3 linked regions of the Caenorhabditis elegans genome follow. The protein of the gene in region 1 interacts with the protein of each later gene in a pairwise test. Each region holds a gene or a part of one and is shown in the gene's direction. Other genes may lie near its edges.

Region 1 (7,653 bases):
ACAGTAGCAATTTTTAAAAAAATTACTGTAGTTTTCGCTACGAGATATTTTGCGCGTCAAATTTGCTGCGCAATACGCATTCTCAGAATTTTGCGTTACCGTAATATACACGGTGAAGAACACGAGCCACCAGGAGTACGGTAGCCCTGACTTTAATTGCAAAAAAAGAGAAAACAGTGAAAAAAATCTGTATATAATTGCTATTATTTTTAAATTTCGCAAAAAAAATTAGAAATGACCACATTAATTTTGAATTCCTGCGCGAATGAATTCTATTTTTTGCGTATTCCTGCAATATTTATTGGATTTTCTCTTAGCCTAAAGCCTAAAACGCAGAAATTTCGAAATAATAAATTGACCATTTTTGAATTATTGGTGCAAAATTGAGAAAAATTGTGAAAAATTATACCATTTTTTGAACAATTACGCTCAGCTTACTAATTGTAAGATTACTCAGATTTATGGCAAAACACGATTTTTACGCCTTCAAAAAATCCTAGCTTTTGGCAAAACTTACAGGAAATTAAAAAATTCAGAATAAAAAGTAATAAGATCCAGGAAGCCATGACTCGAATCATTGTAGTTGAACTGTATGAATGATTTGATCCCAGCTTCTTCCGCCACCCTAAACACCCCATAATTTCCGTTTTCCGCTTGAATAGGAAATGTTGTATATTTCTGTACTCCTTCCTGAAGTATTAAAACTCGTTTTCGTTTATTAAACTGTTTCTTTTTTCAGATCACTCAACTTCCTCTTCTCAACGTCAACTTCGACTCGGCTAATTATAATTTTATTTATTTTTCTGATTTTTTTAAAATTCTTGTTTTTTCTCAAATTTCCAATTTCAACATCATCTTATTTTCAAATAAAAATATTTATTTTGCGACTTTCTATTAATTTGAAACAGCGAATATTGTTAATTTATTAAGTAAATTTAATCATTTTAGATCGTTTTCAACCGATTTTCGAGGGCTTTCCACAAATTTTGTACTTTTAAATAAATTTAAAGTTTATTCTACCGAAAACACTATTTATTTTTCCACGTGGACACCGCCAATTTTCTCTGAAAATTCTAAAATTCTGGTTGAAAATTAATTTTTAAAGCTTCCTCACGAGAAAAGCGCCAACGCACGAGGAGCGCGCCAGCAAACCCGCATTGACGCAGTCTCGGTGCACTTCTGAACTCCAAAACACACTGTTCCCGTTCGATTTTTCTCGCATTTTTCATAGTTTTTTTCGAAATTGAAGCTTTTAAAGGTGTTTTAGACTTGATTCGAAGTGAAATATTGATTGATTGAGCCGGAAAATAGGCAAAAAGTTCTGGAAAAACGCGCGAAATTAAAATTCCAGTGACTTTCGAGATAATGATATTGATTTTTCCGAGTAATTAAGTTGATATCCAGCTATTTATTTTTGCGTGACATTCTAATTACCGGATTTTCAAAGTTTTTTCGAAAAAAAAACAAAGCAAAATCGATTTATTTCGAATTACTCGCGACTTCTCAACTTTGAAGCTGAAAATAGTTAGTTTTGTTTTTTCTGTTATCAGTGCGCGCTTTTTCTGCAATAATAACATTCCGCAGTACGATTTTTTCAAATTTTTTGCTTTTCGAGAACGGAAAATCAAGTTTATTTCAGTGTGCACGAAAAACGAGCGAGATTCTGACTTGACCAGTTCGTTCGGAATCGACTCATTTTTGGAGATGAGCGGACGCTCCGGTAATGGTGGACAACAAAAAATGAGAATTCGCCCATTTATGGTAGGTTTACACACACAGATTTTAGTCCTCTATCAAGCCTGTCTCCTTGTTTTGCGTGAAAAATCGATTTTTTTAAAACGAAACTTGGAATGTTACGGCCGAATTATCCGCGATATCCGAACAATCCGTCAATTTCTGATGAGAAACTGATATTTTTCCACTGGCAACTGTATGCCACGTGGCAATCATTTTCAGTTTGCGTGCCACGTGCCAAAACTCGTCATTTCTAAAGAACAAAAGCAAAATATTTTTTTTTCATATAACAAAATCGATTCTGAGGGATTTCTAATGGTCAATAATTGTTTTTGACCGTTTAACCAGGAAAAAACGAAGAGAAAAACTGTAAAATCGTATTTCCGCCGTTTTTTATCGATTTTCTATTTTTTTTCCTATTTGCTTGGACTAGCCATTAGAAACATGAAATTTGTTATAAACGGCAATGTTCTCGCAAAAATGACCTCACATAAGAGTTTTTCGCGTTTTTTTCACGAAAAAAAAACGCATTTTTGATCGAAATTTACCGAATTTCATCCCAAAAAAGTTCCAAAATTTTTGCCAAATTTTGCTAAAATCTGATATTTCGTAAACTTTTCTAGCTGGAAAATCCCTGAGTTTAGCAAATTTTGGCGCTTTTCCGAAAATTTTGAATTCTTATAATGAAATTTTGGAAATTTTTTAATAGTCGGGCCAGTTTTTGGTCATTTAAGGAAAATGCCCAAAATTTAGAAAAGCCGCAAAAAAAAAACGGAGAAAAATGATTTTTTTTCAGGCCACAATAGACGAGCAATATGTGACACAGACATGGGAACTTTTGAAGCGTGCCATACAGGAAATCCAACGCAAAAACAATTCGGGCTTGAGTTTCGAGGAGCTCTACCGCAACGCATATACAATGGTGCTCCACAAGCACGGAGAACGTCTCTATAATGGCCTGAAAGACGTGATTCAGGATCATATGGCGTCGGTTCGAATTCGAATTATCGAATCAATGAATTCTGGAAGCTTCCTGGAGACTGTCGCCGAATCGTGGGCTGATCACACTGTCGCCATGGTCATGATTCGTGATATTCTGATGTATATGGATCGGATCTACGTGGCACAGAATAATCACGTCCTGCCGGTCTATAATCTGGGTCTCGACGCGTATCGGACGGAAATTCTGCGGCAAAACGGGATTGGCGACCGAATTCGCGATGCTCTTCTGGAGCTTATCAAATTGGATCGAAAATCGAATCAAATCAATTGGCACGGAATAAAAAACGCGTGTGATATGCTCATCTCGCTAGGAATCGATAGCCGGACGGTTTATGAGGACGAATTTGAGAGGCCACTTCTGAAGGAGACTAGTGATTACTATCGGGATGTGTGCAAGAATTGGCTTTCTGGCGACAATGACGCGTGCTTCTATCTGGCACAGGTGGAGATTGCGATGCACGACGAGGCGAGCCGAGCGTCGAGATATCTTGACAAAATGACAGAGGCCAAAATCCTGCAGGTGATGGATGATGTGATGGTTGCTGAGCATATTCAGACGATTGTCTACATGCAGAATGGTGGTGTGAAGTTTATGTTGGAGCACAAGAAGATTGAGGATTTGACTCGCATTTTCCGTATTTTCAAACGTATCGGAGATTCGGTGACAGTACCGGGTGGTGGATTGAAGGCGCTGCTTAAGGCGGTTAGCGAGTGAGTTTTTCGCGCGATTTTTTTTTAGAAATTGAATTATTTGGTGATTACAGCCGTGGGAGGAACGTTGTAAAATTAAAATTTGAACAATTTTCACCACAAAAAGGCACTAGCATGGTTATCTGTCGATTTACGAAGCCTGTGTACTCTTCGAGGGGAAATTTTGTTTTTTTACCCCAGAAATTACGGGTTTTTGCTTTAATGCGGAGATTTCAATGATTTTATTTTGTAAAAAATTGAAAATTTCACCCAAAATGGCTCCATGTGTCGGTTTAACCAGCTTTTGTGCTCCTCGAAAATTTATGTATTTGATGGTTAAATCTAGACTTTACTTTGGCACTTTTTTTGAAGAGGATTTTACAGTGTTTAGCTAAAATGCTTAATCGTTCAAATTATTTCTAATTTTAATGGTAAAACACCACCAATGCAAGCATTTCAGCCAGAAACCGTAAAAAATAATCCACGTGGAGTACACGAGTCGCGTAAATCTACACATGGCCGTGTTAGTAGAGGTTTCGCGGCCACGTTTTCGCTTCAAGAAATTTAAATTCCAGCCAATTTACTGTATTTTTATTTATCAAACTCTACTTTTCTGACCTAAACCCGTGTCACTCGCCCGCAGCAATCTGTTTATTTGTTCTGTTGTCCATTACGTCGAACACCGCCGCTTCTCCTTAAAACGCCTCAGCTGTTGGTGGTTTTAGTTTTTAGATAACACCAACCCTAACAGTTGAACACGGAGCATTCAGAAAACTAGAGCAGAATTGGGGGTTGCTCAGCAAGAAAAGTTAACTTTTTTTTCCAGATATCTCAACGAAACCGGCTCGAACATTGTGAAAAATGAGGATCTGCTCAAAAACCCCGTCAATTTTGTCAACGAATTGCTCCAGCTCAAAGACTACTTCTCCAGTCTGCTCACCACTGCGTTTGCCGACGATCGTGACTTTAAGAATCGCTTCCAGCATGATTTCGAGACGTTCCTCAACTCGAATCGCCAATCGCCGGAATTTGTGGCCCTCTACATGGACGATATGCTGCGAAGCGGTCTGAAATGTGTGTCGGACGCCGAAATGGACAATAAGCTCGACAATGTGATGATCTTGTTCCGCTATCTACAGGAGAAGGATGTATTCGAGAAGTATTTCAAGCAATACCTCGCCAAACGTCTCTTGCTCGACAAATCGTGCTCCGACGATGTGGAGAAGGCTCTGCTGGCAAAGCTGAAGACAGAGTGTGGTTGCCAGTTTACTCAGAAGCTTGAGAATATGTTCAGAGACAAGGAGCTTTGGCTGACACTGGCCACAAGCTTCAGAGACTGGCGAGAGGCTCAGCCGACCAAAATGAGCATTGACATATCGCTTAGAGTTTTGACGGCGGGCGTTTGGCCGACGGTTCAGTGTAATCCGGTTGTGTTGCCGCAAGAGTTGTCGGTTGCCTATGAGGTAATTCGAATTTTCAATTGGTTTTGCAATTTTTGAGCTTGATGTTTCACAAAACCCGCAAAAATGTCTGCTTACACGCAGGGTTGTCGTTTTTTGCCAAAAGATGGATTTTTTATACAGAAAAATGTGCATTTTAGAGACAATATATATTTTTTTCGGTTTTTCCAATCAAAAAACAACAAGTATGTTTTTTTTTCAAAATTTAATTTCCAGTCGCGATGAGATGAATTCAAAAAAAAAACGTTTCTTCTAGTTTTTCTGACCAAATACCTAGAAATCCATTTTTCTGCCAGAAAAGCCAAAAAAGATTCCGAATATCTATTATTTTTGCTTGAAATCGCTTTTCACACGCGCACCAGAGACATTCTCATTGGACCGCCACACTTGTGTCGATTTACGAGATTTCTCATGAAATTTTCAGGCCAATTTCAATTTTTCAATAAGTATGTTTCATTTTTGTGGAAAAACTGAAATCTCCGTAAATCGACACAACACGGTGCGCTCCAATGAGAATATCTCTGGCGCGAGTTTAAAAATATTATTGGGTGCGATTAAACGTGCTTTCAAGCTAAAATATAAAACCAGGGCAATTTTTAAAAAAATATTTTTTCACAAAGATTTTTGGAATTTCTTCAATTTCCCCTCGTTTTTCAGATGTTCACACAATACTACACTGAAAAGCACACTGGCCGTAAGCTGACAATCAACACACTTCTCGGAAACGCTGACGTCAAAGCCACATTCTATCCACCACCAAAAGCATCCATGTCAAACGAGGAAAATGGTCCTGGACCGTCGAGCAGTGGAGAGTCGATGAAAGAACGAAAACCGGAGCACAAGATTCTCCAGGTCAATACGCATCAGATGATCATTCTCCTTCAGTTCAACCATCACAATCGGATCTCATGTCAGCAGCTGATGGATGAGCTTAAGATTCCCGAGCGAGAGTTGAAGAGGAATTTGCAGTCGCTGGCTCTCGGAAAAGCGTCGCAGCGGATTTTGGTCAGAAAGAATAAGGGAAAAGATGCGATAGGTATGAAAAGGAAATTATAGTTTTTCGAATTTTTTTGAAAAAAATTGATAATTTGAAAAAAAAATCAATTTCCAATCGCTGCAGCCAACTTTCCCATGGGACATGGGAAAGTTGGCAAAGTTGGGTTTTTTTTGCTAACTAGGGAATGGTGTTACCCCTGCAATCGCTAGGAGGACAAACAAAGTGAAAATGGAAGATCAGATCTATGGCTACAAGAATCAGTTTTTGGAATCTGCTTAACTCGGTCCCAAAGCTGAAATTTTCGGTCTTAAAAAGTAGTCCTTTTTTTGCTCAAAATGCCGTTTTTCGTGTGTAGAAGTGGCTACATAAAAGTTTGGCACTGCAGCCGCCGTTCGAATGGCCGATTGGTGAACTCTTGTGCTCATTAATCTAAAGGTCACGGGTTCGTTCCCCACTAGGTATTAATTTTTTTTTGAATTTTTCCTCTAGCATGAAATATGCACAAAAACACGGTTTCTTCCGTTTTTTGGTAACTTCGGAATAAATTTTTTGGTTCCTGGGAATCATAAAAGTAATTTGGAAACTTTTTGGAAGTTTTCTTTTTTTGATAAATTTTCACTTTTCTCCCACCTGATGTATGCACATTTTTTTCTTCAAAAATAATTTTTCAAAATTTTTTCAAAAAGTGTTTGGTTTGAAAGAGCAGCATTAGTTTGGATATTTCTACGATTTTGGAGGATCAAATGTCATTTTTAGGAGAAAACCACTGTTGTTTTCTCTAGACTTTTTCACGAAAAGGACCTACTTTCAAAGACTTCCAGCTCCGTTGACGAGTAAAATAAAAAAGAGTTGTCAACTGCAAAGTTATTTCAAAAGTACCAATGAACAAATTGTCAGTTGAAGTTACTCTGCTAAATTTTATGGGTAGAGAGATATAGCTAATCGAAGTGAAGCTTTAACTTACTTAATTACTAATGTCCATATCTCTCTACCCATAAAATTTAGCAGAGTAACTTCAACTGACAATTTGTTTATTGGTACTTTTAAAATAACTTTGCAGTTGACAACTCTTTTTTATTTTACTCGTCAACGGAGCTGGAAGTCTTTGAAAGTAGGTCCTTTTCGTGAAAAAGTCTAGAGAAAACAACAGTGGTTTTCTCCTAAAAATGACATTTGATCCTCCAAAATCGTAGAAATATCCAAACTAATGCTGCTCTTTCAAACCAAACACTTTTTGAAAAAATTTTGAAAAATTATTTTTGAAGAAAAAAATGTGCATACATCAGGTGGGAGAAAAGTGAAAATTTATCAAAAAAAGAAAACTTCCAAAAAGTTTCCAAATTACTTTTATGATTCCCAGGAACCAAAAAATTTATTCCGAAGTTACCAAAAAACGGAAGAAACCGTGTTTTTGTGCATATTTCATGCTAGAGGAAAAATTCAAAAAAAAATTAATACCTAGTGGGGAACGAACCCGTGACCTTTAGATTAATGAGCACAAGAGTTCACCAATCGGCCATTCGAACGGCGGCTGCAGTGCCAAACTTTTATGTAGCCACTTCTACACACGAAAAACGGCATTTTGAGCAAAAAAAGGACTACTTTTTAAGACCGAAAATTTCAGCTTTGGGACCGAGTTAAGCAGATTCCAAAAACTGATTCTTGTAGCCATAGATCTGATCTTCCATTTTCACTTTGTTTTGTCCTCCTAGCGATTGCAGGGGTAACACCATTCCCTAGTAAAATTTGCCTTTTTCACGTTTTTGAACT
Region 2 (4,183 bases), on another chromosome or scaffold:
AGAATATTATAGATTTTTCAGGAAATTATAGATTTTTACAAAATTATCAATTAAAAAATATTGGGTTCACAGATTTACACCTAAAATTTATCGACTTTTTTCAGATCGATTTGTACAAAAAGCTGGAAAACAATGAATTTGTAATCGATCTTATGGCCCATATTGTGGATGATATCACCCATTATCTCCTATTTGATAAGTACTCGCAAAACTTTTTGGAATATATTGAAGAGTTGAAGATTGGCGGAGAGGTTGATGAGCTTAAGGTGAGGTTGTAAGAAATTGGAAATTTATTGATTTTTCCAATGAAAAATTATATATTTTTCCAGCACCTGAAATATTTTTCCGGAATTGTGTCAGCTATCGAGCAACTGCATGGCTTTGAATTTGCTCATTTGGACATTAAGCCCGCCAATATTCTGAAATCCGGCGACACTATAAAGATGATTGATTTCGGATCAGCTACAAAAATGCCGATCGAAATCAAAACTTCTGCAGATCATCACAGGCATAAGGAGGATGCCGAGGAGTTGTGTAGTATGATGTATAGGGCTCCGGAGCTTTTTAACTGTGAAATTGGCTCAACTCTGACGACTGCTGTCGATGTTTGGGTGAGCTTTTTTGAAGTATTATAGGCAGTTGGTAAGACAGGCAAGCGGTAGGCACGTGAGAAGGTAGACATGTAGGTAGGCAGGCCTAAGATAGGTAGGTAGGCACGTAGAATGTTAATAAGCAGACAGGCATGCCGTTGGCGGGCTGGCTTGAGGTAGGTAGGCATAAGTCATGTAGACGGTTCATAGGCAGGCAGGCTAAAGAAGAATTTTAAAAGACAATCAGGCTAAACGTAGGTACGGCAGGCATGTAGGCACGTAGGCACATAGGCACGTAGGCACGTAGGCAGGTAGGCACGTAGGCACGTAGGCACGTAGGCACGTAGGCACGTAGGCACATAGGCACGTAGGCACGTAGGCACGTAGGCACGTAGGCACGTAGGCACGTAGGCACGTAGGCACGTAGGCACGTAGGCACGTAGGCACGTAGGCACGTAGGCACGTAGGCACGTAGGCACGTAGGCACGTAGGCACGCAGGCAGGCGGAATTCTTATTTTTCTATAATTTTTATTATGCGATAATGTAAATCATTTCCAGGCTCTCGGCGTGTGCCTCTACGAGTTCCTGTACCTGGAGAACCCGTTCAACAAGATTTACGAACAAGGTGGCAGTATTGCACTGGCGACACAAAGTCCGCATATGATCAAGTGGAATGAGAAGTGAGATTTTTGAATTACCGTCCAACTTTTCGAAATTTTTTCTTAATTCTGATGATAATTTCAAATTTTTTGTGTTGCAAAAACAGTGATAATTAGCCCACGCGTTGCCTTATCTTTGTTTGAGATTAAATTGTAATTTGTAAACTTTGACATGTAAATTGTCACGTTTTTCCCATAATGCTCTAACTGGACAGTCACGAGGTTTTTGTAATGTTAATGAAGACGGAAAACGAGAAAAAGTGCGTGGGAGTGTATTCAATTTTGAACTTCTGAGTTTCAAAAAATCCAGAAAATTTGTTTTCAAATTGTTGGCATTTTCTAATCAATTCGCGAAAATTTTATTTTTTTAGAGTAATCTTTAAAACTCTCGGCAAAAATTCTTAAAACCCCAATTTCCAGCCGACACATCAGCGAAAAATCGATAAATCTCATCAAATCCATCCTAATCGTCGATCCCAACCAGCGACCAACAATTGGAGAACTTCGAGCGAAAGTTGACAATCTTCTGGCGAACTTCGACACCCCAGAAGAAGCCGAAAATCCAGAAATAACCGACGAAGAGTTTGATTTGGGCATGCGAGAGACGACGTGACAGTTTCGTGGCGGGACCCTGAAAACTTTTTCAAAACATTTTCTGTGAATACTTGAAACATTCCAATCTATGCATACTTATTTCACTTTTTCTCTGTCACCTCTTTTCTCTTATCACTGAAAAATAAACATACAGCTTCTTATCAATTATCACCATTTTTGACCGAAAAAAAAATTAATAAAATATTTTCCAAAATTCGTACTGTCATGGAGCCCTCGACTATTGTAAAATTGGATGTTGGCGGCAAAATTTTCAAGACGACAATTTTCACATTGTGCAAGCATGATTCAATGCTTAAAACTATGTTTTGTACGGATGTGCCGGTAAATTTTTTAAATTGTTTTTTTTTCAGATAAGGTTTACAATTTTTTGTAGGATGAACTTGATTAAAAAACGTTTATTTTGAGGAAAATAAATAGAATACACTTTATCGTTTTTTCCAGTTTTTACAGAATTTCTAAATTAAAAAAAAATATTCCGAGCACATTTTTTAAAAAGAAAATTGTTTACGAAACTATGAAAACAACAAAAAAACCCAAACTTGTTCGGGAAAAATATCATGTGTGCAAAATTTTCATTTTCGGAATCAATGCACCATGTTTGAAAAAACGCAGAATTTTACAGAAAATACACATTTCATATGAATTTTTGTTAAAACAATTTTTTCAATTTCGAGGAAAAACATTAATTTTCAAATCAATTTCGAAATTTTCAAATTATTTTCCAAGTGGATTACAGAACCGAGTTTATCTATAGATGATCCCATTTGCAGGTGACAAAAAACGAGGAAGGAAGTGTATTCATAGATCGAGATTCCAAACATTTCCGACTAATTTTGAATTTCCTCCGAGACGGTCAAATAGCCCTACCGGATTCCGATCGTGAAGTTCGAGAAGTTCTTGCAGAAGCCAGTTATTTTCTATTAGACCCACTGATTGAGCTATGCGGGGAACGATTGGAACAGTCACTCAATCCCTATTATCATCTGGTTTCAACAGTGTTAGAAGCCAGAAAGATCATTTTTGCAACCGAAAAGGTTTGCCCATTTGCCTGCCTACCTACGTGCCTATTTTGCATGTTTTTCAGCCAATTGTGGTGTTGAGATTGCCGGTATACATTGCCACGAGTGGAAATCAAAGCTATTATTTCAGCGAGACAAAGTTTCGAGAATTGTCTGAGGAATACCACAAACACGTGGCTTTTATCTTAAGTGAGTTGAGTTTTTTAAATTTGCATGTTGCTGCGGAATTTTATCGAAAAACTATTTTTAAAAACTGTAGTACTTTTCAGAATTTTGAGCACAACAATCTGAAAATATAGAAAAACCCATAAAAATAGTTTGAGCAAACCGCGGAAATCGGTCAAAAAATGAATATTTAGCTATCTTCAAGACACCTATATTTCAAAATTTTTAGTAACCGAGCCGGAGTTCAACGAGGATTGCTCATGGAGCTTCTTCCTTCGCGCCAAGAAAATCACCGCAAGAATAAAGGTAAGCCTTTCAAATGCATCAGGAAATAGGCAATGAAGGCAGGTATATTTTTTAAGCCAAAAATTTTCTTAATTCAGGGTCCAATGGACTGTAATCTAGTGGAAGAGTGCATGCAAAAACTGTTGAAAGACGCCGAGAAAAGAAGACGTGGCACTAAATCGTTTTTCAACGAAATTCCTATGGAACTCGTGGAGCACGAAGAGCTGCATTGAAATCAACGGAAACTCGATAAATTCTAGATTTTTGTATATTTATTTATTTTGTAAAAATAAATATTGTTGTACATGTTTTTAAAAAATGTGCAAAAACATGCCTGAAATCTGATTCAACTGAAAACTTAAGGCAGTTACTGAAATTTTGTTATTAAATTCAGAAAGAGCATAAAATTTGCAACAATTCCCCGAAGAAAAATTTTGAAAAAAATTTATTTGAAGTCAGATATCAATTTTTAAAGTTATAAAAACTAAGTAAATATGACAATAAATAATCGAAAAAAAATGTGCAAAAAATGTTTAAAAAATTGAATTTAAATTTATGTATATTTATTAAAATGATTAAAGTTATTAAAATGGTTAAAATGATTAAAATGATTAAAATTTATTTAAATTAAAAATTAAAATTTAAGAAAACTAAAAACCTCTCCTACTTGCCAGTTCATTATTTGCAATATTATTTCTCCCTCTCCCTTTTTCTAGAAAAAACGGGGGAAAGTGTTCACAATTAGCGATTGACCTCGAAATGATAATAGTAGTTTTCCGTGAGGGAGTGTCCACTCGAATGTTGTTTTTTCGTCCGTCGGCATCTCCTCTTCACATCTCCTGTACAACA
Region 3 (3,488 bases), on another chromosome or scaffold:
AGCAAAGTAGAATAATCACGTGGAGTCAAAAAGTCCCATTTTGCTTTGATCTTCGAAAAAATGCGGGAGAAGTGACGCAGACATCTGATCTGATTTCGCATGGTTAAGACTGTGCTGACGTCACAATTTTTCTGGGAAAATATTCCCGCATTTTTCGTAGATCAAACCGCAATGAGACAGCCTGACACCACGTGAATAATCTGTTTTGTTTTAATAAATAAGTATTTAATAGATACAATTAACTTTTTGCAGGTAAAAATCTGGTTCCAAAATCGTCGTATGAAACACAAAAAAGAGGCAAAAGGAGAAGGTGGAAGCAATGAATCAGATGAAGAATCAAATCAAGATGAGCAAAATGAACAACATTCTTCTTGATTTTCACTTTTTTTGGTCAGAATCTAATTTGAATTTCTTTTTACCTCGTTTCCGGTCGCTTTTCATTGTTTTGCTCCCATTTTTGTCATTTTCCTTTGATTTTTTGCATTCTTCATCGGTGATATATTGCTTTTAAACGACCTGAAAGGATTCCACGCCCTTTCGACGGGTCTTTGTTTTTATTGATTATTTCTCAATTTCTTCCTTTGCTTCTTTGGGATTTGATGATCTCAACCTTTGTCTCGAAAATTGTTTTTTACACACTGCTAGCCTATTTTTTGATTTTTTTTTCTTGAAAATTTTTCTACAGTAACATATCTGTTTGCTTTGATTTTTGGAGATGAAATTGATCTGTCATTATGTTTCACAGAGGACCTCACAAATTGAAGGACATTTGTGAAACGACACATATTTCACTGTGCCAGATGCAAAAGAAGATTGTTGATATACCATGTAGTTATAAAAAAGTGAACTGAGTTACGTCACACTAAAAAATTATATCGTCGATTTCTAATGAACATAAGAATCTGTAAAACTGGGCCACAAAGTGTGAATATGTACTGGATGATTGGTAGTAAAGCTTCATTGATTGCCTCCAAATAATACCTTAGTAACACTTGAAACTTTAGAAATAATTATATAAACCTGAAAATATCTTTTCTACAGTACCTCGCAAAGAAACTGCAGGTTTGAGATGTCCAATTTCTCGGAAAGTTGATTAGCTTTTTTAATTTTTTTAAAATTTAGTCATTGATTCACTGGTACTAACTAAATATCTCTGTGAAAATAAATGTATTTTTTGTTACTCATCTTTAAAAATTCGTCAACCAGGTTTATTCTTTTGCAAGTTCAAATATTTGTATATACTTTTGCAAGTTCAAATATTTGAGCAATATTGACTCCTTTTTTTATTAAGGAGTCAATATTGCTCAAATATTTGAACATTGGCATTATTTTCCGAAGTAGAAACATAATTAAATACTTTATGCGTTTTAGAAGGATCTATCGATGGTAAATAGTATAAATGCTGCATTTCGAACAAATAGTCAGCGAACTACGGTAGATGAGAGAGTACGCAATGAACATAATGCATTCTAATTTACGCACATTAGATTTTTTGTAATCTTTTTTTTTTCGTCAAACTTTGCAAAGTTATCGTTTTTCTAGCGGACAAATGACTTTTAATTTAAAAATTATTTGATTTTTTCGACTTTTTGAGTTTTAAAAATGTTTAATTTCAGCAAACTCTTCAAAATGGTCGCCGCAAGCAAGGAATTCGTGTTTCATCACACTTTCAAGGATGTTTCACAATTGGAAGATGGCGATTTTTTTAAAAGCCCCGAAGAAATTCATTACAATGCGGAATGGTAAGTCTTATCCAAGTCATAGATTACATAAAATATCTTTAGTTTCAGGTTTATATTGGTTATTCGCACGAAAGATCAACTGGAAGCGTACCTACACTGTGACAATGAGAAAGATGACAACGTCGCCTGGACAGTCGACGCCGAATTCAGCTTAAAAATAGCTTCATCATCAGGAAGTTATGCAATGAAATTCCAAAAGGGATGTTTCGATGGATTTGGACTGGGATGGAATGATTTTGTCAGTTGGGACTCATTGACAGAAGATTTTCTATACGATAATAGTTTTACTATTGAAGCATGTGTGAAGATCACAAAAATGACAGGATTCTCGAAAGATGTGCTCAGAAGCTTCGATGAATCAGAAAAAAGATTTTCCGATGTGATCCTTGTAGTTGGAGACGAGAAGTTTTATGTTTTGAAACTAGTAGGTTTTTTTTACAATCGAATTTTCCATTCAATATTCAATATTTTTCAGTTCCTGGCGTCTCATTCTTCATATTTCAATGCACTTTTTCTTGGAAAATTCAAAGAAGCCGATCAATCAGAGGTTACACTCCAAAACATCGATCCGACCGATTTTCAGAGCCTTTTGGAGGTTCTATATGGAGAACCTGCGATTGATGGTTAGATATTGAATTGATTTTAAATTAAAATAATTAAATTTTCAGATGGTACCATCGATGGAGTTCTTCTACTTGCCCACATGCTCGATGTTACCTTGGCAATTCGAAAATGCGAGGAGTTTTTGATCGAAAAGTCGATGAAATCGATGAGAGAGCTGTTAAAAATGGCTAACCAATATCAGCTGGAGAATTTAAAAGTAAAATTTTATTTTTTGAAAATTCCTGAAAACTAAAATAAATTTTGATTTTCAGACCGTTTGTATCTCGAAAATCAACACGATCGATGAGATTGAAGCTGCAATGGCTTATAATCCGGAAGAAATGGACCCGATTGTGCTGGCGACTCTCCTCAAAAAATCCACGGCTCTTCATCGATCTGCGATTTCTGATTCAGTATAATCATTTTTTTCCTGTTTTAGCGCTAATATATTATTGTGATTTAGTCTTTGATTCGCTGGTACTAACTAAATATCTCTGTGAAAATATATGTATTTTTCTTTTACTCATCTTTAAAAATTCGTCAACCAGGTTTATTAAGGAGTCAATATTGCTCAAATATTTGAACATTGGTCTTATTTTCCGGAGTAAAAACATAATAAAAAAACTTTATGCGTTTTAGAAGATTGAAATTGACTGAGTTGGTCAATGGCACAGTCTCCTCCGATGGAAATTTGCATTAGCGCGCACTTGCATTTTTGTTATTTTCATGAATTATTTTGCACTGAAAAAAATGATGGTTTTTTGTGACTTGAATTTCTCTTCGAAACGGTGTTTTTACGTTTTCATTTTAGGTATCAAATGTTAAGCAGGAAAAAAACTGTTTGTTGCATCATTTTGGGAATTTTTAATGAAAAACTGAACGCGCTGATACAAAAATTGTCAACAATTACACTCGAAAGTTAGAAAAAAAAAATTATTTTTTATATTCTTTTCGGTTATTAACGCTCTGTGCATGTAAAAATAGTTTCTAATTGTTATTCGCATGTCTGGCTACAATATGGTCAATTTCGGATGGATATCAATGCTTAATTTATGGTTTCATTACGATTTCACGGAACAGCCTGGCCAACAGTTTTCTGAAATAGGGAAAAATGCTCAAAGAAGATGCAACTGCAGACAAATT

What was found. The genes of interacting proteins can lie anywhere in the genome.
Region 2: the proteins of cul-3 (region 1) and agns-1 interact in a two-hybrid assay, tested with the Caenorhabditis elegans proteins (one large-scale study listed by BioGRID).
Region 3: the proteins of cul-3 (region 1) and bath-15 interact in a two-hybrid assay, tested with the Caenorhabditis elegans proteins (one large-scale study listed by BioGRID).

The regions. Positions count from the first base shown.
Region 1 is NC_003283.11:175,940-183,592, forward strand, and holds the start of cul-3 (Cullin-3), read left to right. Parts: upstream 1-1,639; 5' UTR 1,640-1,704; coding exon 1,705-1,761; intron 1,762-2,530; coding exon 2,531-3,447; intron 3,448-4,252; coding exon 4,253-4,889; intron 4,890-5,543; coding exon 5,544-5,922; intron 5,923-7,653. UniProt on the Caenorhabditis elegans protein: Probable core component of multiple cullin-RING-based BCB (BTB-CUL3-BTB) E3 ubiquitin-protein ligase complexes which mediate the ubiquitination and subsequent proteasomal degradation of target proteins.
Region 2 is NC_003281.10:10,480,282-10,484,464, forward strand, and holds agns-1 (BTB domain-containing protein), read left to right. Parts: upstream 1-2,006; 5' UTR 2,007-2,069; coding exon 2,070-2,186; intron 2,187-2,635; coding exon 2,636-2,899; intron 2,900-2,949; coding exon 2,950-3,073; intron 3,074-3,278; coding exon 3,279-3,355; intron 3,356-3,432; coding exon 3,433-3,567; 3' UTR 3,568-3,662; downstream 3,663-4,183. Other genes in the region: D2045.7 (non-specific serine/threonine protein kinase), read left to right, coding at 105-266, 330-611, 1,150-1,271, 1,671-1,863.
Region 3 is NC_003281.10:7,774,156-7,777,643, reverse strand, and holds bath-15 (BTB domain-containing protein), read left to right. Parts: upstream 1-1,610; 5' UTR 1,611-1,629; coding exon 1,630-1,742; intron 1,743-1,784; coding exon 1,785-2,166; intron 2,167-2,217; coding exon 2,218-2,365; intron 2,366-2,410; coding exon 2,411-2,562; intron 2,563-2,617; coding exon 2,618-2,764; 3' UTR 2,765-2,967; downstream 2,968-3,488. Other genes in the region: Homeobox protein mab-5, read left to right, coding at 253-375. UniProt on the Caenorhabditis elegans protein: Probable substrate-specific adapter of an E3 ubiquitin-protein ligase complex which mediates the ubiquitination and subsequent proteasomal degradation of target proteins.